Linked DNA regions of Struthio camelus. The protein of the gene in region 3 interacts with the protein of the main gene of each other region in a pairwise test. Links are inferred from orthologs where the notes say so. Each region holds a gene or a part of one and is shown on either strand. Other genes may lie near its edges.

What was found. The genes of interacting proteins can lie anywhere in the genome.
Region 1: the proteins of FHL2 (region 3) and NIBAN1 interact in binary tests that used the Homo sapiens proteins (3 or more experiments, as listed by UniProt). The two-hybrid records come from large-scale screens. The link is inferred for Struthio camelus from reciprocal best matches to the Homo sapiens genes FHL2 and NIBAN1.
Region 2: the proteins of FHL2 (region 3) and ITGA7 interact in a two-hybrid assay, tested with the Homo sapiens proteins (2 studies listed by BioGRID and IntAct). The link is inferred for Struthio camelus from reciprocal best matches to the Homo sapiens genes FHL2 and ITGA7.

What each region holds. Positions count from the first base shown.
Region 1 is NC_090949.1:3,952,027-3,959,167, reverse strand, and holds the start of NIBAN1 (protein Niban 1), read right to left. Parts: upstream 3,015-7,141; 5' UTR 2,927-3,014; coding exon 2,872-2,926; intron 1,642-2,871; exon of another isoform or gene 1,568-1,641; intron 1-1,567. UniProt on the Homo sapiens protein: Regulates phosphorylation of a number of proteins involved in translation regulation including EIF2A, EIF4EBP1 and RPS6KB1. May be involved in the endoplasmic reticulum stress response.
Region 2 is NC_090969.1:808,278-815,366, reverse strand, and holds the start of ITGA7 (integrin alpha-7), read right to left. Parts: upstream 3,015-7,089; 5' UTR 2,855-3,014; coding exon 2,685-2,854; intron 186-2,684; coding exon 58-185; intron 1-57. UniProt on the Homo sapiens protein: Integrin alpha-7/beta-1 is the primary laminin receptor on skeletal myoblasts and adult myofibers.
Region 3 is NC_090942.1:154,185,916-154,193,073, reverse strand, and holds the start of FHL2 (four and a half LIM domains protein 2), read left to right. Parts: upstream 1-4,154; 5' UTR 4,155-4,196; intron 4,197-7,078; exon of another isoform or gene 7,079-7,158. UniProt on the Homo sapiens protein: May function as a molecular transmitter linking various signaling pathways to transcriptional regulation. Negatively regulates the transcriptional repressor E4F1 and may function in cell growth.

The sequences.
Region 1 (7,141 bases), on a different chromosome or scaffold from region 3:
TGATCCCTGCCTTTGCAATTTCAAATATAGCCTTGCATGTTGCTAACAACTGCCAAAGACCACTTGAAAAATTGCATGTTGACATGATACATTCTCCTGTTAGGCGTTGTTTGCTACAGAAAATATACTGCATTCTCATTTCAACAATTACACTTAGCTTTCTACCTGCTTCCAGGTACGGCTCAAGATACCGCCTCACACACAAATACACAAAAGTCTTGACGATTTGCAATTTGGCTGTTCCAATACTACCATTGTCTCCTGCAGAGAGCACAGAAGTTGAAGCAGGTTTATGCAGAAAACACAGTCCTTGCATTCAGTAATTGTGACATTCCTAGGCAAGTGCTTTCTTAATCGTCTCTGAAATTCATTCCTCCAACTGGTCTGACAAAGCTTGAGGTTATTCACCCGCAGGGTAGAAAGAGCCCAAAGCACGGTGCCTCCTAGGCTTCTCCTGCAGCAGGTGCTGGTGGCACAGTTCTCTGTGATTTATGTGGACACACTGACATGTTTTTACATACACAATTTTTGTACCCGTTTTGTTCTCCTCTCATCCCTCAAACGCACAATATGAGCAAACAGATCTTTGGGAATTATAAGAGCTGTAAATCTGTACATACATCAATGGAGAAACCATATCGGTTTATGGCTGAAAACCGCCTCTGTCCCTTTAGCCCGCAATCTCTCTTTTCCATCTGCTATAAGGTTGTAGCTTAAGTACTATCTACGTAAACTACAAGGTTTTCCAGCGCCAGGACGCTGCTTCAGACAGATTAAATTACCACTGTGACAACAGCAAATTAGCATCGGGACAACAACTACACAGCGGTCATGCAACACGCTCAAGAAGTCACATTTAGCTCTGTCCCATATGATTTCGGCTAAACCTGGCTGGGACCAGCGCTTAATGCTGCTCCGTTGACACAACACCTAGGTGAGCCTGCAGATGTAGGTGGAGGTTGGCACGGCATGGACTACCCTCCAGCAAGCCGGGGCTCAACCTCAGCAAGCTTCTGCTGCACAGACACGGAGAAGGGGTCACGGAGAAGATTACGGCAGATGCCAAAATCCAGCGCCAAAACTAGCGCGCAGGAACTGCAAATACTAATTTACTCACAGAATCACTGAAACGGTGGTGGGAAGGGAGTGCCAGAGATACTCTAGTCCAAACCCTCACATGAAGCAACACTCAGGCTTCCCTGTTCTGGGCGTAGGGGAAGTTGGGCCAATATGACCGAGAGTATCTCCCGTTTAAGAAACCACACCGAGTTTGGATAAGGTAACTGGCTGCATTCCCTAAGTAAGATGTGTGAGGTAACACCCCTGAGCTCGATGCCTCCCAGCCTTCCTCACCAGAGCTGCTCCGCTGAAGCACTACAGATTTACAGCTGTACTAACAAAAAGCAGGTATCTCCCTTCCCTTTTTACTGAAGGCTCCTCTACATCGGGGCGGGGAAAAAAAAACCACACATGCACCAAAAAAAAAAAAAAACCTCCCACAAAATAAAATTAGCCTAACCTTCGAGAAGCCGGCTAAAAAACTGCTGGTTTTTCCATCTACAAAGCGAGCGATTCAGGCAGCTTCCGTTTCTTGGAACGCACCGGAGCAAGCTGTGCCGAAGGCAGCCGCAGCTAAGCAAGGTCTGAATCACGCCAACTCTAACCTCAGCCGGAGCTGCAAGTCTGGCGCGCGCGCCGGACCGCGCTCTAAGGAAACGTCGGCATTTGAAGACGTTCCTCCCGAGTCCTTTTCCCACTGCAAGTAATCGTTCACGGGCAGCTGCCGCACGAAGGGCGTCCTTGGTCAAAGCAAGAGCCGAGAGCGGGCAATCCTCGCCGGCGGCAAGGGCGGCAAACTCGAGCCAGGCGATAAAGGCGGCTACGTCTTAAGTTCCTTTTTGCGGGAGGATTTCACTTTACCATTTGCTCGGGCAGAGCCGACAGGCAAACGGGGCCGAAGAGCCTTCGCGCCTCTCCGCCCCGAGCGGACGCCCTACCTCGAGGCGGGCCATGGGCGAGCTAAGCCGAGGCGCGGGCTGGGCCGAGCGGGGGCAGCTGCTCCTCAGCTCGCTGCCCCGAGTTCTCCAGCTCTACGCAGACGGCCAGAGCGAGCGGCTGCGGCGTTTCCTCCTTCGCCGAGCCGGGGAAGCGGAGGAGCTCCAGCGAGACGGCGGTCCTCGCAGGCGCTCCCGCCTCTCGGCCAACGGCTCGGCGTCGAGTCGGGGCCAGGAGGGCACGGCGAGGGCGAGGGGAGGCCGAGGTTGGGCCACCAGCCCCGCACGCGCTCGGGCTGGTACCGGGCGGGCCGGGGGAGGCGGGGGGAGAGATGAGGCTTCCCTCGGAGGCGCAAAATTTTTATTTCGCTCCCAAGTTTCTGGTAAAATTCGCCACGTAAATACGTTACCTGCTGCCGCCGGCCGGCCGGAGGGGACCGAGACGCGCCACAGCGAAAGGTGTTTCACCTCCTGGCCACTGGCCGCCGGCGTGGCAAAAAGAAATTAACCCCCCCCCGGCCCCAAAACACACCCTGGGGAACTGTGCTCTTTAACAGCAAAACGCACGAATTTATAGCGATATGTTTTAAACAAAAACAAACCAAAAAAAGTTTTTTTCCTCTTAAATGTTAACAGGACAAAGTGTTTCCCTCCAGTTTGCGCTGTGCCCCACAACCCGGAGCCGGCAGGCTTTTTTCTTAAGGTCTGGGCGCCCAGCAGACCCCCCCGCCCCGCCCAACCTCGGCGCCGCCGCCGCCATGCGGCAGCCCGCGCCGGGCGCCCTGAGGGCAGGCGGTTTCCCGCCGCGCGGCGCAGCAGCCCCTCAGCCCGGCTCCCCTGCCCCGTCGGCCGCGCCCAGCCCTGCGCGGCGCCCTACCTCGGATATAGGCGCACTTGCTGTCGTCCAGCGGGCCGGAGGCAGAGCCGCCCATGCTGGCGCCGCGAGCTGCGCAGGGCGCGGAGCGGGGCGGCGGCGGCCGCACGCTGAGGCGCTGCCGCCGGCGCCTCCCGCCCGCCCGCCCGCCCGCCCACCGGCACCGCCCGCCGCCCGCCTCCCTCCTCTCCCTCAGCCTCAAAGCTGCGTTATTGCAGACTCTCTGGAAAGGCGTTGGTTTCCGCTGGTTTGCACCTGCCGCAGAAACTGCTTTTTAAAATAAGCGTGGTTTTGTTCTAGTCGCTTGGGCTGGCTGTGCCTCAAGTACCCTTAACGTTGTGACGGTTGAAAGTTTTCATAACCGAACCCGGCCCTTCTGCTTTTCAGACTTACGGTTAACCGTCTTGATCAAACTGGACGTAGCGAAGGCAGCTCGGAGGCAGTTACCTGCCTCCAGGTCCAGCACCCTGCTAAGCGACCTCTCCCTCAAAGGCCGCCGACCGACGCCAGGCTTTCGGCATCAATTCGCGCTATTCACACAGACTTTCTAGGTGTATTTTAGTTGTCCCGAAGCGTAGCGGCGCAATCGTTTAACTGCCCTGAGGAGAGCGGATGCATCCAGGGCATCAATAAAACAGTGGTTTGCCGGTCTGTAAACATCTCAGCGGAGAATCGAGCCTAGTATTTAAATCAGCAGCCACTTCTAGAGGCATGGGGTAAATCCCAGGCTTTCGTCAAGAGCTGTTAAACTCTACTACGAGGCTTTTAACTCGCTACCAGCAAGCTGGACGCTGCGGTTCCTGCAGCGTGCACCTCCGAGCTGGGTGAGCGGACAACCTAGAGGAAATACGCTGCACACCGCCTTGCCTTTTAAAGGTGTGAGAGACGAGCTTGGCCTCCGTTTATAGTGTTGCGTGTCTTCTATCAAGTTTCTTTCAGACGACTTTCATGCAGGCACGTGTGCTACGCGAGTCACCTCCGCTGGTATCGGAGAGAGAAACCGTGGAAAGTTCATGAGCCGTAACATGGATTGCTGTTCTGTCTCCTCGTTTAGAAGATGAAAATATGCCAAATCGCAGAAGCTTTGTGCTCAGGAACAGATGTCAGGGTGCATACAGGATGGGAAACCTCCCTGCCTAATTACAGCTAGAGTGAAAACAAAATGAGAAGTGAACAGTTTTTTTAATTATAACGTTTCATGCTTCAGTAGCACCTTTTATCCAAAGATCCCCAAGCATTTCGCAAATGCCAGCTAATTAAATACCATCACTTTCCTTTTAAGATAGCAACGTGCTATGGTTTCATGGCAAAGTTAGTATCTTAAGCATCTTTAAGAAGACATCACAGAGTCACAGAACGGTTGAGGTTGGAAGGCATCTCTGGAGATCTTCTGGTCCAGCCCCCTGCTCAAGCAGGGACACCTAGAGCACATTGCTCAGGACCGTGCCCAGATGGCTTTTGAGTATCTCCAAGGATGGAAACTCCACAACCTCTCTGGGCAACCTGTTCCCATGCTCAGTTACCCTCACGGTAAAAAAGTTTTTTCTTATGTTTGGATGAAATTTCCTGTGTTTCAGTTTGTGCCCGTTGCCTCCAGTCCTGTCACTGGGCGCCATGGAGAAGAGTTCAGCTCCATCTTCTTTTATACCCTCCCATCACATATTTGTACACGTTGATAAGATGCCCCCGAGCCTGCTCTTCTCCAGGCTGAACAGTCCCAGCTCTCTCAGCCTCACCTCATACTGGAGCACGACAGATGCTCCAGTCCCTTAAGCAGCTTTGTGACCCCTCGTTGGACTCGCTCCAGTAGCTCCATGCCCCTCTTGTACTGGGGAGCCCAACACCGGACCCACGCGCTCCAGGCATGGCCTTACCAGTGCCGCTGAGTAGAGGGAAAGGATCACCGCCCTCGACAAGTCGGCAACACTCTGCCTGATGCAGCTCAGGATACCATTGGCCTTTTTGGCCGCTAGGGCGCATGGCTGGCTCATGTCCAACGTGTTGTCCACCAGGACCCTCAGGTCCTTTTCTGCAGAGCTGCTTTCCAGCCAGCTGGCCCCCAGCATGCCCTGGTGCATGGGGCTGTTCCTCCCTAGGTGCAGGACATAAGAGAAATGTGAGAAAAGTCAGGAACAGAGCCAAATGACCCTACTTCTATACTGTTTAATAGCAAAACCATCCTTCCCTAGGATAAGAAATGGGCCATGTTCGATTTTAATTTGATGTAACATGGCCGCATATAATGGACTGCAGTTCTCAATGACAAGATAATTAAACACTATCAAAGTAACAGCAGCGCAGACAAAACAAACACTTTCCCACTTTTTCTGCTAAGAAAGCTTGATCTTTAAGGGAAACGAGCTTTACGTCTCCCTCAGAACGCTCCTTCTCTAAACACCTCTTTTGTATCATATCCTAAAGGGCAACATGATGGAGCTCTTCCATTCTACACAGAAGGTGAATTCAAGAGTGAAAAGGATTGCACTTCTTTCCTATTATCTCTTTGTAGAGGGGACGGTAACGTCACCGTGAAGTGACAAAGACACAGACACGACCACAAGGTCCGCTCTCAACACAAATGGTCACACCAGCATGATAAAGTGGTTGTTAGTCAAACACACGGTCCTGAACACGACCACACGGCTGACAAACTGCAGATATGTCATCAGAGGGACTGATAAAATCTTTGTCATGTTGTTGGATACTTCCCCTACGTACCAACACCATCTAAGTGTAACTTAAGATATGCAAGGAACCAGCCGCTCTGACATGATGCAAAATAGCATGTGCCTGCGCCTTCTGCTTCAGAGGAAAATGAAGGGTTTATCCTGTTTATACTCTCCCAGAACCATCTTGGTTGCCTCACAAACACAGTTCAATATTAGCAGAAGCATTTAAGCGAAATGCATATGGAATCCATTGGGGCAGAAAAGCAACTATCCAAAATTACCTTATAAGATTTCTCCCAGGGAAGGTAGCCATTTTAAGATCACTGACTTCTGCAAGCACGATAGCAACATGCTGTTGACAAAGACAGCCACAAGCACAATAAAACTATCAAGGAGGCATAATAATTATCTATTGCTAGAGGAAATCATTAATCGTTATTGTCTCAAAGCCAGTACTGGGCTGTAGAAAGTAGCACTACGGAGAGAAGCAGCCCTTTTCGCCGGACAGGCTGGTAGGTGAAATATGTTGTGAATCTCTTCCATCTAAATAACACCGAAAAACATTACACACAGAAAAACATTACCTCTATGAGGTATTTTCAGAGGCTGGAAGGAGGTCTGAAAATCTAGCCAGGGAAGATACTCCAACAGAGTCAGAACTGTTCTGGCTGGAGATCCAAAAAACAGTATTTTGATAAAAAGAGCCTTAAGAACAGGGAGAATTTGTTGTGCTTTAGCTACTACTCTAATTCTGAGAGACTTAGAAAAAGCATTGCTCTGAAAACCCATAGACAGAAGAAGAGTGGATTTTAACAGATTCTTAAGGGAAAGGCATGACTTGGAGACAGTGTATGAAGTGCTACTGTATTCCAGAGGAGAAATAAAAAAGGTATGTACGGTCACTATCCAAAGAAAAAAATTAGCTAAAACCCCTTATTTTTGTTACTTCAGAAGGTGTGGATGACACCAGACCTGAGGAGTGTGAACTGCTCATCAAGGACGAAAAGCAAGGCAAAGTTATATTTCTATAGCAGAGGGTAAGCAAAATATCTTGGTAGCAAAATTGTATAATTTGTAAGAGTATCTCTACCTTTCAGTAGTTCTGTGAAAGAAGATGGTGAAAAAAGGCGGTGCAGGATGAAACGTAATCAGGCAGCTGAGTGCACAACCTAATGCTTCCTTCTCCACTCCTTATTTTCTTCCTCAGTTGTGCTTTCTTCTGATTCAGCATGCAAATAACGATTATTTGAATACTCATTAAATACCAGTGCTCATTAAATACCAAACCGTAGATAACATTCATCATTTTACCCTTCTTGGTTGCCAAGTGTTAGAAATGTCCCTTTAGTCCACACATTTTAATCTGATCCAAGGGAATTTTTAAAAACTTTTCAGTAGAGAAACTTCCTCATAAAAATGCTTTAAGGCTGACATGGAAGAGTCCAGTAGTTCTCCAACCACATTTAGTAAATAGATGTAGCTCACTGTGAGGCTCATCTAGAGGTTAGCACTGTTAAAAATCTTCTAGCATTTCCAACCTCAGCATCCGAAAAGTACACATCTTGTTCCTCAAAAATATACACTTTTTAGTGTGAAGTCAGAAA
Region 2 (7,089 bases), on a different chromosome or scaffold from region 3:
CCCGGCCCCACCAGCCCGGGACCCCCGCGGCGCCCGCCGGCCCCCGGCCCCGCGCACCTCCGTCGTCGATGGGCACGCGCCAGCAGTCGCCGACCTCGGGGCTCAGCGGGCAGGCGTAGAGCCCGCCCGTGCGGTTGGCACCTTGGCCGGGCAGCGCCGGCGCCTGGGGGGCCCCCACCAGCAACCTGCGGCGACAGGGAGCCGAGCGTCAGCGCACGGCGCGGCCGGCTGGCGCGCGCCGGGCTGGGTGTGCGTGCACGCTGCCGGGTCTGCACGCGCACCGCGGGGCTCGCACGCCCTCGATGGGGTTTGTGCATGCACCACGGGGTTCGCACACCCTTGATGGGGTTTGTGCGTGCACAGTGGGGTTTGCACGCCCTTGATGGGGTTTGCATGCCCTCAATAGGGTGTGCATACCCTCGATGGGGTTTGTGTGCACACTGCAAGGTTCACACACCCTTGATGGGGTTTGTGCGTGCAACGCAGGGTTCGCACACTCTTGATGGGGTTTGCATGCACACCACAGGGTTCACACGCCCTCAATGGGGTTTGCACGCACACTGCAGGGTTTGCATGCTCGCACTCCTGCTTGCACCCTTTCCGGAGCTGCTCGAGCGCCCGCAGAGCTGCCCGGGCTGGACGCCTGGCCCCGCCGCCCCCGCGCAGCTGTCCTCGCGCAGACACCGCCGACGCACCGATTTCACGCCTCTCGCTGGGGCCGGGCAGCTGCCCGGGCTGGGCAGCGCCAGACCGTGCACGAGGGCGAGGGCTCGGGGACGGGGCAGGGTGCACGCACCCCGCCGCACGCACCCACGCCGGGCGCGCTGGGTGCCAACCGCCCCGGCCCCAGCTGCTCCCAGGCCTCAGCCGCAGCTCGGTGCATGTGTGGGCAGGGGAAGGGGCAGCCGGAGGCGAAGCACAGCTGGATGCCCACACGCCGCGCTGGCTCGTGGCCACCTCTGCCCTCTCCGCGGGGGACGGGGACAGCGGCCTCGAGACACGAGGGAGCCCCAGGAGACGGCGGAGAGCTGGTAAAAATAAACTGGAATTCACTCAAAATAACTCAGCAGCAACATGCCCAAAAAAGGAGGGAGCCCGAAAGAGGCACGGGGCGCGCCAGCGCGGGTGCCAGGGCGCCGGGCAGTGCCCGGGGCGCCGGCGCCCGGGACCCCGCACGGAGCCGGCCGCGACGCTGCTCTGCGGCACTGGGGACGTCTCCGAGCGCCGCGGAGCTGCCGGCACGGCGGGGTCGAGCCGCCGCGGCCCGGCGCCTGCTGCAAATACCTGCCCGGGAGCGGCGGCAACAAAAATAACCCTCCAAGGCCGGGAATGTGGAGAGCGCGGCGGCCGGGGCCCCCGGGCCGAGGTGCCAGCCCAGAGCTGGGACGCGCTGCCGGCTCGCTGTCCCCGGCCGGGGGCCACGGCGGCGGCACCGACCCCCCCGGAGGAACCGGGGCGGTGTTTGCTGGGGCTTCGCAAGCGGCAAAGGGCAACGGCGCCGGGGCAAAGCCGGGGTCTGGGTGAGGGGCCCGGCGCCGGGGTCCCATCGCGGCTGGCGTGGCCCAGCCGGCTGGCGGCTGCCCTGGAATCCGGGTGGGCGTCTGCCAGCTCAGCGCCGGGGCACGTGCCCGCCGGGCGCATCCGCCGGGCACCCCCTCCGCGCCGCGGCCCCCGCTGACTCAGGCTGGCCGGCGAGGCCGAGCCGTTGCCGAGCCCCCCGGCCATGCTCGGGGCTATCGATTTTGCTCCCCACTCCCAGGGAAAGGAGAAGGAGCAGCGGCAGGGCTGGGCTCGGCCGGGGCTGCGCAGGGGACCGCGGGCTGGTGCCTTGGGGGAGAGCCCTGGCCCCCCGATCCCGTGAGATCGAGTGGTCCCAGCTGCCTGCAGAGCTCCCGCAGCGTGCACACCAGCACCCACATGCATGTGCACAGCACCCATGTGCACACGTGTGTGTGCTAGCACCAGCACACACGTGCACGTGCACAGCATGTACACTAGCACACACACACGTGCACACCAACACCCACATGCATGCTCAGACACCACGCGTGGGGGGCAGGATCTGACCCCTCCAGCATCCCGGAGACTGCGTCCCTGACCCCTCAGCAGAGACCCAAAGTCACGCCAGGAGCCAGGGAAGACACAGCAGCCCCAGCCACGAAGTCGGCAGCGACCGAGCGCAGCAGGGACGGGGAAAGCCGGGAGGAACCTGAGCAGGGGGCTCCCTGCAGGGAGCCCAGGGTGCCTGCGAAGGGCACGAGTCCAGCCAGGTCCTGCCTGCAGCCCTGGACACATCGGGCGACTCCGCGTTGGCACCGAGAGCAGAACCAGCCCCCACCCAGGCCCCATCCGCCCCGGACCCCGGCCGGGTCCCCACCCCGGGCTCCCCGCAGCGGCCCCGGCCCTGCTGAAGCCCAGCGAGCAGAGGGCAGCCGGCAGCCCAAGGGAGCAGGCAACCCGACACCATCCCGCCTGGCACCCCAGGGACGGGGAGGCGACAGACCCGCAGCCCCGACAGCCCCGACGCCACGGGGACGGGCTGGCCGCCGAGAGCCCGCTGGCTCCCAGCGAGGGGCACAGACCCTGGGCTCCCAAAACCTGCGGTGCGAGGTGCTGGCGGAGAGGGGACCCCGCGGGGGAGCACCGCAGCGAGCCCTCGGGAGGGGGCGAAAGCAGGGGCTCACCAGCTGGCGGGCTCAGGTTGGAGCTGCCGGTGCAGAGCCACGGAGAAGCCGAAGAGGCTGCCCTTGTCGCCATCCTTGAGGAGGGTGTTGGTGACGTCCAGGTTGAAGGCAGCGCTGCCCAGGAGGTGCAGGCTGAGCCAGGGCACCCAGAGGGGCAGAGGCGCTGCCATGCCACGGCGGTGCCCGGCCCCACAGCTCCCACCGCCGCCGGCTCACGGAGATCCCGGCGCGCCTCCGCCAGCAGCGGCCGCCCGCCCTGCCGGCACGGCTCAGCTCGGCTCGGCTCAGCTTGCTCTGCTCCGCTCTGCTCCTGGCAGCGAGGAGGAGCACGGGCTTCGCAGCAAACACGCCCCCTTCGCCCAGCGTATCGCATGCCGGACCGTGCAGCGCAGTGCATCACATACTGGACCGCACACTGGACCGTGCAGCGCAGCGCACACTGGACCACACACTGGACCGTGCCGTGCATTGTGCACTGGACAGCACACTGGACCATGCAGCGCAGCGCATCATGCACCGGACTGCACACCAGACCGTGCAGCACATTGTGCACTGGACAGCACACTGGACTGTGCAGCGCATCATGCACCGGACTGCACACCGGACCATGCAGCGCATTGTGCACTAGACAGCACACTGGACCGTGCAGCGCATCGTGCACCGGACTGCACACCAGACCGTGCAGTACAGCACTTCGCACACCAGACCACACGCTGTGCTACACGGCATATCACAGCGTATCACATGCTGTACCATGCCCCATGCTGCACAGCATATCGCAGTATTACACCCTGTATCACAGCTTATCACAGTGTATTGCACCCCATATCACAGCGTATTGCACTCCATATCACAGCGTAATGCAGTGTATTGCACACCAAGCTGCACGGCGTATCACAGGGCATCGCACCCCATGCTGCACAGCACGTGACAGTGTGGTGCACCCCGCGCTGCGCGCCATCAGCTCGCACACACACGCAGCAGCAGGCATCCCCATGGCCCGGCCGCCTCCCGGGAGCTGCTGCTCGGAGACCTCCCCGGTGCAAGCACAGCCCCCGGGGACCGGCAGCCCCACAGGGTTTCTCCGACCCGCAAACCGCAGCTCGTCCGCTGCCGCGTCCGACGAGAGCCGGGCACGCTGCGCTCCGCCGGGGCTGGCCGGAGGCAGGCGGCCCCGGGCGCGGGGAGAGGCACAAGGCAGCGCTCCAAGCCTGGAGCCTTCCCAGGCGCCGATGCACCAAAGAGCGCTCGCGAGCTGTTTGCTGACCTTGATTTTGCCACGCTGCCCTGAGCCAGTCTTGCCGCAGTGACACCCCTCCCCGCCGCTCTTTGCGGGCCTTCGCCCAGAGGCGATACCCCAACACCAGCGGTGACCCCCCCCGATACCCTGGCACCCCCATCCTGCAGCAATGCCCCGGCACCCCGATCCTGCATGGCGGCTGCGCGGGGGCTGTTTGCTCGCGGGGCAGCTGCCACGCCGCACCCAGGGGCCGTCTCGGCCACCCCGGGCGCAAACCCATGCGGGACCCGCTGCCGCATGGACGCACTTCGGCCGCGGGGGCCAGCGGCTGCAGCTCGAGCGCTGCCCTGTGCCCCAAACGGGAGCTCAGAGGGGAAGGGAGAAACGGGGGCCGTCATATTTTCCAGCACACTGGCTATTTTTAACCGCTCCCGCTCTCCAAAGGCCTGCGAAGATATTTGTGAGTTGGCAAGGCCGCTCCGGCCGTGTGAATTAGCTCCGGCTCGGCCCTGGACGCGGGAGCATGAGCTGGCCCCGCCGGCGGGCTCGGCCCCCAGCTCGCGGGACCCGCGCCCAGGAGGCGCCCCGGAGCCCCGGCCTGCTGGCAGCCCCTTCCCACCGGCCTGGCCCCCACCCAGCCCTCCCCACGGCTCGCCTGCCCTTTCCCCTTCTGCGATCCAGCATCCTTTCTAATATCCCTGCTGACGTGGGAAAGGGAGCATCGCTTCCTGGGAGGGGAAGGAGGGAACGGACCCAGTTCAGCCCTGTCCCACCGGGCTGCTCAGGCTCCGTTAACCCCCGCCGTGCCTCACCTGCCCTCCCCCTCGTGCAGAAACGCGGGCGAGCCGCGCCGCGGGCTGAGCTCGGAGCCCAGAATTCCCCTTCGGCCTCTCCTCTTTCAGCAATCGCTGTGAATTGCCCGTCTGCCGAGAGGGGATGGCATCAGCGGAGCATCAGGCTGGTATAAATAGAAAAGAAGGTGGTTGCGGTCGGGAAGCGAGATGAGCGGCCGGTCTAAATTAAAACATGACCTGGGCTAACGCTGCAGTCCCTCGGCACCGAGGGGACCCTGAGCAAAGCGTCTGATCTCACCGAGGCGTCAGCGCGGTGCCCGCGAGCAGGGAGGGGGAACAGCAGGGGAGGCGAGGGGTCCCAGCACGCATCTCCAACAGTGGGGAAAGCAGGGCTCACCCTGCTCTCCTCCCAGCACCAAGACCACGAGCTTCAAAATAAATGAGTTTACAGGCCCCCATCAGTGTCTGGATCCTGAAACCTTAATGGGTGTCATATTCCCAAGCCATCCTCCTCCCAAGCAAGCCTACAAATTCACTTTTCCCCCCACCAAGCTCAACCCAACTCCCTAATAGCATCACAGGGCTCCGGGAGCTCAGGCTTCTGGGGAGCAGCAGCCGCTGCGCAAAGATACGCAGAGCTGCCAGCCCTGCCTTCTGCTCCATGCTCCGGTTTTTCTGCTGAGCAGCATTTAAAGAAATCATCGCTCAGCGCATGAGCTCAGCCAGGACGGACCGCTGGAGCAGCCACTGCGACTTCCCAGCCCGGGAATTCATCCTACTTCCCCACGCTGAGCTCAGTAACTTGTTTGGCTAACGTGCCTGAGAACGGCAGCTGGTCTGGATTAGGAATCATCAAGAGATGGCAAATCCACTACTTCCTTGGAGGCTTGACCCCCCTGTCAACAATCTGCTTCAGGGTAGAGGCCCAGCGGGTAGGGGAATTCCAGCCCAAAAAAACGTTTTGTGAATTGAGAACCAGACACCTCCCCACCTTCTGGTCCTTCCTGGGCTGTGCGTGTGCTGGGAACAGCCACGTTCCTCCCCAGCACCAGCTGCCTTTCAGCAGCCGGCAACTGAATCTCGGCACGGCCGCACCACGCGAGGCATTGTACAAACGGGGGCTGCTGTTACTACCTCCAGATGAACGGACAGTAGTGAGAGCGGGAGTGCGTGCACACATACGTGCTCGCTGATGCTCCTTGGAATCGCTACAGACTGTGTTACACCCTCAGTGTTGTCTCATGAGAATTTTATTTTCGATACAAGGGCCAACTTCCAAATGAGGCTTGGTTTCCAGAAGGGAGCGCTTTCTCCAGGCCCGACTCACCCATCAGGACATTGTTCCCGCAGGCTCAGGCATGAAACACGAAGGGGTTTTTTTCGGTTGGGGTGAGAATGAAAGGCGGGGGGGGGGGGTGTTAAACAGTAACTCACGTGTCATGAGAAAAGACTTCCTTGTTTAGAGGATTCACTTCACTCCAAGCCCTTTCTTGGATTTGAACCCTCAGCTCCTGGAAGCTGCAGCATCACCCCACCGGCTTCTGAATAGCTGAAGTCAGGGAGCAAGACAGAGATGGGAGCAGAGCTCAGGACACAGGGGAGGAGGGAGAGGATCACCACTCGCTTCCAAACAGATGGAGGGAGGGAGAGAAACGCTCCCAAGAACTCCTCCAGTTTGCGAGAGCGGCCAAACCACTTCACCAGCTCCATTAGCTCTGTTAATGGGCTGAATCAATTCCAAGCTCCCACAACCCCTCCACGGAGCACCCTCCTGCAGAAGGAAGGCAGGAGAGGAGAGAGAGGACAGCGGAGGGCAGAGGAGCTGCACTCAGGAGCGGCTGCTGCACACCCACAGCCTTGGCTGTGGTCAGATTGCCGCTCTCTCAAAGACATAAGAGCGTGTCTTTGTTGTCAGACATAGTTTCAGAAACGGAAGCTGTGGCGCATCCCAAAGTGCGCAGAGAGCCAGAGACTACACCTCAGAGAGGTGTAAAGTCCCACGTACACTCCAAGGAGGTGTTAACTGTTACCAGCAAAGCTCCTCACAGGCTGCTGCTGTTCACTACTTCATTCCTGTGGAAGGAAGGGCAGCTACTGGGTCAGCACAGTTCGGCCGGCAGAGCTTTGTGCTGGAGCTCCTGTGGGTGGGAGAAGCCGCCATGAATTATCCCTCCAAACAACAAGACTCCTTAACAACTTCTGTGAGCCCCGAGCAGACAGCACCCCACCCCCAAGATACACCCACACCTCTCACAAGCAGCAACTGACCTTGACACACGCCAAGCCCAAGCACAGCGGGGAGCCGAGCCGCTCCACCACACACAGACCCAGAGCACGCTCTGCCCCACAGCACCTCCGTTAATCCAGCACT
Region 3 (7,158 bases):
GTGTATGCAGAGTATTGACTACTGGCAAAATCTCCACAGGCTGCTTCTTCTGCTCTGCCTCTGCTTTGAGTCTCTGGCAGAACATATCATATGTACAGAACCTATCTCCAAACTCAGATTAGATTAAAGGCTCAACAGCATCATAATGCAGTTTTAAACCCCTGTGCTACCATGAACACAAATGTCAGGGCAGCAAGGTCAGATTCCCATGAATGTCTGGCAGTAGAGCTCTTTGGAAAAGACACTACCAGTGCAAGTTGGTGAGATTTGGTTTATTAAAACTCTTACTGAAAATGTACATCCTTCTTGGATTCCCAAGCTCCATCATCATCTTGCGAAGGATGGCACGCCCAAAACCTACTTGTGACTGATCAGTGCTAAAACTTCTAACTTCAGCACACTGAATGGCTAACAGGACCTCATTATGGACCTCATACAGGACCACAGAAGCCACACACTAATGCATACCTTGGCAGAGAAACAGCAAGGGAAATAGTTATTTTAGCACAGTCACCTGCTATTGCCTTATGGCAGATGATTGACTCAAATTCTTGCTTTGTTTCCTCCTAGGACCTCAATCCTGGGAGCTGCGGGCTGGCTGTGAGGCAGACAGGTCCAGCATGGTGGAGATGTGTAGCTGGCAAAGGGCCATGGAGATGTTGCTTTGCTCTCCGTGTCAGAGCCTCGGAAAGCTCAGAGCTGTCCTTTCCTCAGTGAGCTTCATCAGAGAATAAAGTAATATCCGAAATGAAGCTGGATCATTTTAAATCAGAGAGGCAGTGGATGGCAACCAGCTTTACGGGACATTTTTTCAGAGAGAAAGGCAGTAACATTTGGATTAATGGATCTGCAATCCATCTTTCTGAAGTAGCTAGAAAGTGTGTTAGGAGGCCACATTTACCCAAAGCTCATCCCTCTTTGCTTGATGTTAACACCAGATCCAAATATGCTTTGCAATCAGACTGACACCTGGGGAGTAAATACATCATCAGTGCCTAGTATAGAGTGGACTAGGGTTGGGGACAACTGTCCTGTGTCTAGGTTGCTTTTACAATGTAGCTGGGATCTTTGAATGATACAAACAAAAAATTGGCTAACATGAAAAGGTTGAGGCTTTCCAGAGCTGTCCAAACATATGTCCTAACTACCACATTTTTGCTGCTTATACAGCTTTCCATAACTGTTTATCGTTCTGGGAAATGAGAAAGGACTGTTTACACAGTAGCTAAAGGAACATGCGACAAAAGGCTGCTAACCCTAGGATGAAGAATATTTTCATCAAGAAACAACTGTAGGATATTCCTCTTATCTCCTTAGAAACTAAGTCTTTAGGCCATGCTTCTAGTCCATGGTGTCTGGAAGCAGGGAATTTTTGCATGGACAAAAGAAGACATGTGAAAGTCATTTGTTCCAGGAGACTTGACTCAGGCTGTCAGATTGTGTTGCTTGGCAGGGACTGAGGACATGTTATTATAAGCCTTCATGTTAGGATGAACCCTCCAGATGCCAACCTCTGATTGGTTTGGGGTCAAAAACATAAAACCTAACTGGGCTCTGTATCAAACCATAAATCAATTTGTCATATCAGAAAACCTGGCACGCTTTTTGTGTTACTACCAAACCTCCACAGCTTGACCCATGTTTGCTATCCAGATGAATTATTCAGAGAAAAGCCAGGAGGTGAGAATATCTTCTAACGGATATTAATCTACCAATACTTTCTCTCAGCTTTTCAGACACTGTTGCAGGTGGATAAGGAAGCTTGTGTATACAAACTGACATTTACAAGTGGTGGAAGAGCTCTCAGTTACGTACTGCAGTAATAGTTGAAGCGAACAGTCCTGTGTTCTTACCACAGCAGGATACAAGTTCTGTTACCCTTTGTAAAATATTATGAGCTGCTATATGAAACTTGAAATTACCCTTTATTTCTGGCTATAGTTTTTTCTGCACCTCTTTTAGTGTTGTGGTTTAGCAAAGCAGTTGTTCTTCAGAGATTTACCTTGGGAGAACTTACTGAGTGTGTGAAAGATAGGGAATTCCAATATGGAAAAGATCATTTTCTCTCAGAAGCTAAATTCTCTCCAGAATGAAAATTGTTCAGAGAAAGAAAACCAGCATTTGTATAGAGGGCTTTGTGTATGCAAAAAACCACAGACTATCCCTTTCAGAAAGAACTCCTTTGGAAGCTGGGATAAAGAAAGAGAGAAAGTGGCTCTGAAAATGTGTATCTTTCTGAAAACGACCATTGAACTGGATTCTCCCCATAGCATTCCCTCGTTTGACCCACCATGGGTCATGAGGAGTAGCTTGAGGTAGCAAGAAAGGGGAGAAACAGATGCGGACATGAGTGCTGCCTCCTCATGCTTTCCCACAAAACGTAAGTGTCTCACAGGATGCTTCCTCTGGTCTCCTGGAGCAGTCACTGCTGTCACCCATGGGGCCATTGCAGCCAAATGTCACGTCAGGTCCCTGGGCTCAGCCTCCTGCTCACAGCCTGGACAGGCTCAGGAGTGCCCAGCCACAGCTTCTGATGTCCAGCCATGGCCATCTCATTTCTGGGCACCGTGATAGAGAGTCCATTTTGGGGCCACCATCCCAACAGCTGATAGAATGCTACTTCCAGGCTACGATTTTTTCCCAGCTTGTGTCAGTGCTTGGGATGAAGATAGCGGGGGCTGGTTCTCCAGAGATGTGGAAATAATAAATAAATCCAGCAGTGGTATCAAAGCCCTCAGCAAATAGAGGACAGTAGCTTCAGCCAGGAGGAGGAAGGACAGATAATCTCAGCTTAACAGAATAGTGCCTCATCTGAGAAGTATGTTGCTGCGTTAAGGAGAGGGTCGTTTGCCTATTTGTGCAGGCTGCCTGATCTTGTTTCTTTACCTGCCTCTGTAAAAGAGAGGCTTTTCTTTTCCTCCTCTTGACATCTCACTGCCTACCTTCACAAGTGTAGACTCTCTACTTATCAGGTCAAACTCTTTATCTCATGTCCTGCTCTCCCTGCTCCCCAGACAGAGCAAAACCCCTAAAGGGCAATTCTCAGTCAGGTGGCCACAACAAAAGCGTAGAAGTCCCAGGTCAAATTGCAGGGAGGAACCAAAAGGACCCACAAGGCCGTCCTGACAGGAGAAGTGGCATGCAGTGAGGCAATTGTGTTTCATTCTGGGTGAAAAAAAAGGTTAAAATAGTTCAACTTCGGGCCAAGGATCATGTCTCTGCTGCAACATACTCCAGAGTAGTGCAATAAAGTGAGAGATGGACCTAGCAAGGAGATAGGCTGTAACCCTAATTCTGCATGGAGCCTTGCTTGGGCAGGTTTTCTTCTGAGGCCAGAGGGGCTTTGCCAATGTGAGTTGCTGAACTTTTTTCACCTCTAATCTCTCATTCCTTAAATGTGCGAATGTCCCCTTAACCTAACGTAACAACTCCATTACAGCAGGAAGGAAGCCCAGAGAGGAAAGCAGTCTCCTGAGTTATGAGTGCCCACTGCCAGCCTGGCACATATTTATTTCTTCACCTCAGGCTAGTTGCTAGAGCTTCTTTGTGCTGTAAAATGGTAGAACTAGCAATGCCTTCCCCCATACAAGGGGTTGCAAGGGTAAAACGTGGCAGAATATGAGGGACTCAGACTCCCTTTCAACAAGATGCATACCTGAGATTGATGAATGAAGGGCAAGTTAAAGTTTGTTACATCTTCAGAGCGGTTAGCATTTCCTAGAGTGTTTTTGTTAATCCCAAAGCTTTGACAAATCGTCTGATTTAGAAGCTAGACTCTTACAGCCCAGCTAAAATATCAGGCCATTAAATTACTCTCGTTCTTTGACAGTCCCTCCTAGAACCTCGCTACGCTTAGGTGAGCGTATTTTAAGGTCAGACATTCCCGAATCAAGCAGAGTAAAGGGCCAGGGTTGCTCAGGAGAGTGGCAGCCCTTTCCATTACAGGTCTTGTGCTACCGTTAACTATGATGCCTTAAAAGGCCAGGAGCACAGAGGTGATGCTGTTCTTATCTCCTGTGGATGGCTGGTACTTTGGAGATATTATATTTATAGCTTGTCTAAAGAACGAATGCCTGACTGTGTAATTACTAAATGCATAGTTTGGGTAATCCAATAAAGCAGTAAGTCGCTGCATTTGTCTCTGCCTTCTCTCATTCTCACACTAGCAAGCAGAGGCACCACCAAGTTGCAGCAAGGTAAGAAAACAACTTCTTTCGATTTTAGCTGTCTTTTGGCCCCTTTACTCCTTTTCATCCTCCCTTTCAGGAGGAGGGCTGGAAATTTGTCAACACTTTCTATGTAGAGATCATGAACGGAGTGCTTCTTTCTTGCAGGAAGAGTGGCTTTTCGGTTGTTTGTTCATTTTTCGCTGTCTGTCAGGGCACATACATAGTGTCTCACTTTGCATTTCTAGTCTGCTGTTGGGAACCAGGTGCTAAATAACAGCTGCTCTTTAGTTTCTGCGCTAATAATATGCTGTCATGTTTTCATGTTCTCAGGGAATACAACCATGTCTAACTAGAGACACTTTCCTGGTTTGAATAGGAAACTGAATGACTTCAGGCAGAAAGCTTTTGATTAGTTTTTTTTTCTCTATCAGCATTTTCTTCTTTAGGATGAATATTTGGAAATTGAACAGACAGTGAAAAAAAGGGGGACAGAAGGAACATTTATACTTTTTTTTTTCTGTCTTTGACACCGTTTCGTAATGGTCTTGAAAGAGAGAAAGGCAAATTACACACGATGCTTGCTGATTTTGTGTTTAAACAATTATTTGTTATGGATTACAGCAGCTGTGTGAAAGGGAAAAAGAAAGAAAAGCATTGAAACGTAACTGGGTGTCAAAGCAGGAATTCTTCAGAACTTGTCTGGAAAACAGCATTAGCAACAACTGCCAAATGCCAATTATCAGACCGTTGTTACACTAATTTACTTTTAACCTCATCTCATGAGAGTATTAATTTTCAAATGAAGCGAATAAAAGAAGACCTCTTTGGAAAAATAAGATTGTTTGTGCATGTGTGTATGTGCATTTAGATGCATTTATACATGCGTTTTTATTATAAACATTCTTGTAACAAGAGACTTTTTCAAGCAAGGATCACAAAGTATGAAAGGTAAGAAATATTAATTTATTTTTAGCCAGAGATCAGAAGGTATCATACTTTGCACAGAGTTTTATTTACTATTCCCTTATTTAAGTAAAGAAATAAAAGAAGGCTTATTTCCAAATTGCTGAGCAACCAGTGCTTCACAGACTCTGATAGGGATGTTGGCTCTCTGGAGAGCAGGACTCCTCAGGCCTGATCCACATCCAAGGCCTGTACAAATGGCTCATCTCACTTCAAAGCATTTGAGACTGGGCCTAATGCCTACGTGCGGATTTCAGAGGCAAAAGGAAAGATCCTTACTTGATACAAACTGTCAGACATCTATGGACATTGCTGAAATATGGATGTTTCCATCTACTGTTGATTGGCCTGTACATGTGGAAATGTTGGATCCAACCCAAAGGCGGTTGTAATAGTGAATGAAATATGCCCAGAAATACTTCTGCTGGGAAAAGTGGTCCTGGGGTCACCTGGTCTGAGCAGTCTGTGTCCATGCCATTATGCACTCCTGGTGTCTGAACAAAGTGGCCACATCTGAAAGGTATCCTGGGGTTGGGCTACCCACCTCCCAAACCATGCCGAGGATCTGGCTGGGAGAGGGCTAGCTGGCGCACGCCAAAACTGCGCCAGGGACAACTGACCAGCGTGGCCAAATGAGTTGCGGAGCCTGGAGCATCCTGTGGTCCTGTCTGATTTATGAGTATTGATGTAGCCCCTAGTGCACCCCTACCTGCATCTGAACTTGTTCTTTTACACGGCCTCAATTAATGTGTCTCATCCAGCTGAGCTATCCTGGCTTTCTCTGGTGGGGGCCTGTGACCGTCAGTGCAGACAATATCAAAAGAGCAAGCTTAGAAACTAGTTTGTTCCATATTTTGTGTGAAGAACAGCATATAACGTAAGTAGAAGAAAAAAGGAATGCAGAGTACCAAACTGGCTGCACACATCTATCTTATCTAAAGGCTTACTATCCCCTCACTGATGCCTGGGGAGGCTTAACTTCTTCAGATATCACAGTCAGAGCCTCTGCACATCCATCTGTTCTCCAGCAGTTACTGTCCCACCGCTGGCCCAGGATCTGTTCTTTTCAGATCCTTTCAGAGCTCCAACCTTCTGGTCCCCAGAACTGATAAAATGGGTTTTGTAAGTTGCCTGGCGTTCAAACGTAGGTGCTTCCCACTGAAGAGCGCAGTGTTGCCTCTAAGCAGTCCTCCAGTGTGGACTGGGAGACGCCTTGCCCAAGCCCATTGACCCATGTTGTCTTGTTTATCCAGGACCCTGCCATTAAGCTAAACTGACGCCACCACAGTAAATTGCATAATAAAGAAGTTACATACAAAACTAATATTTTTAATAGAGTAGCCTCGTTTCTGCAGTGCCAGAAATTTACTCATGTCCTCAAATTCTTTCTCTGTCATCCAAGCCTCAGGCAAAAACAATAGATACCACAAAATCTTTCTGGTTATGTACTTAGAGTTAAAGTATCATCACTGGTGTATTGACAGTATTCCCTCTAAAAAATGAGAAGCAAAAGTAGCATTCCAGTTATGTACAGCAAAACATCAGGCTTTTTTTGAAAGAAGCTGGCCAAAGATCTTTAGCTTGAAAAAATGCAGGAAGGTACATACTAATGTAGTGATTTTTCACTGGATTTGAATTTGAAAGTGAAATAGGATAAAATGTCCAAAAGCCTATTCCCAAAGTGAACCTATTCTAAAGGCAGTCTTTCCAACAATAATACTCTGTTCTTACCTAGCATTGGAAAATATGATTAATGGATGAATAACTTTACTTTTTCCCTTCCAAACAGTAAGTCATCAGAACAAGGCAAACCTTTGATAGCAGCTGGCAAGAAGCTGGGGGGGGGGGGGAGGCAGACTCATTCAAACACTTCTTTAATATAGAAATTCTAAAAGGCCATTTTATAAGGAAGAAAATTAGAGAAGGAAGGGAATGTGAATACTTACTTTGGGATGAAATCCTGGCCCCACTGAAATTAATTAATGGAAATTCTGCTCAGAAACATCCACTGATTTTAATGAAGTCC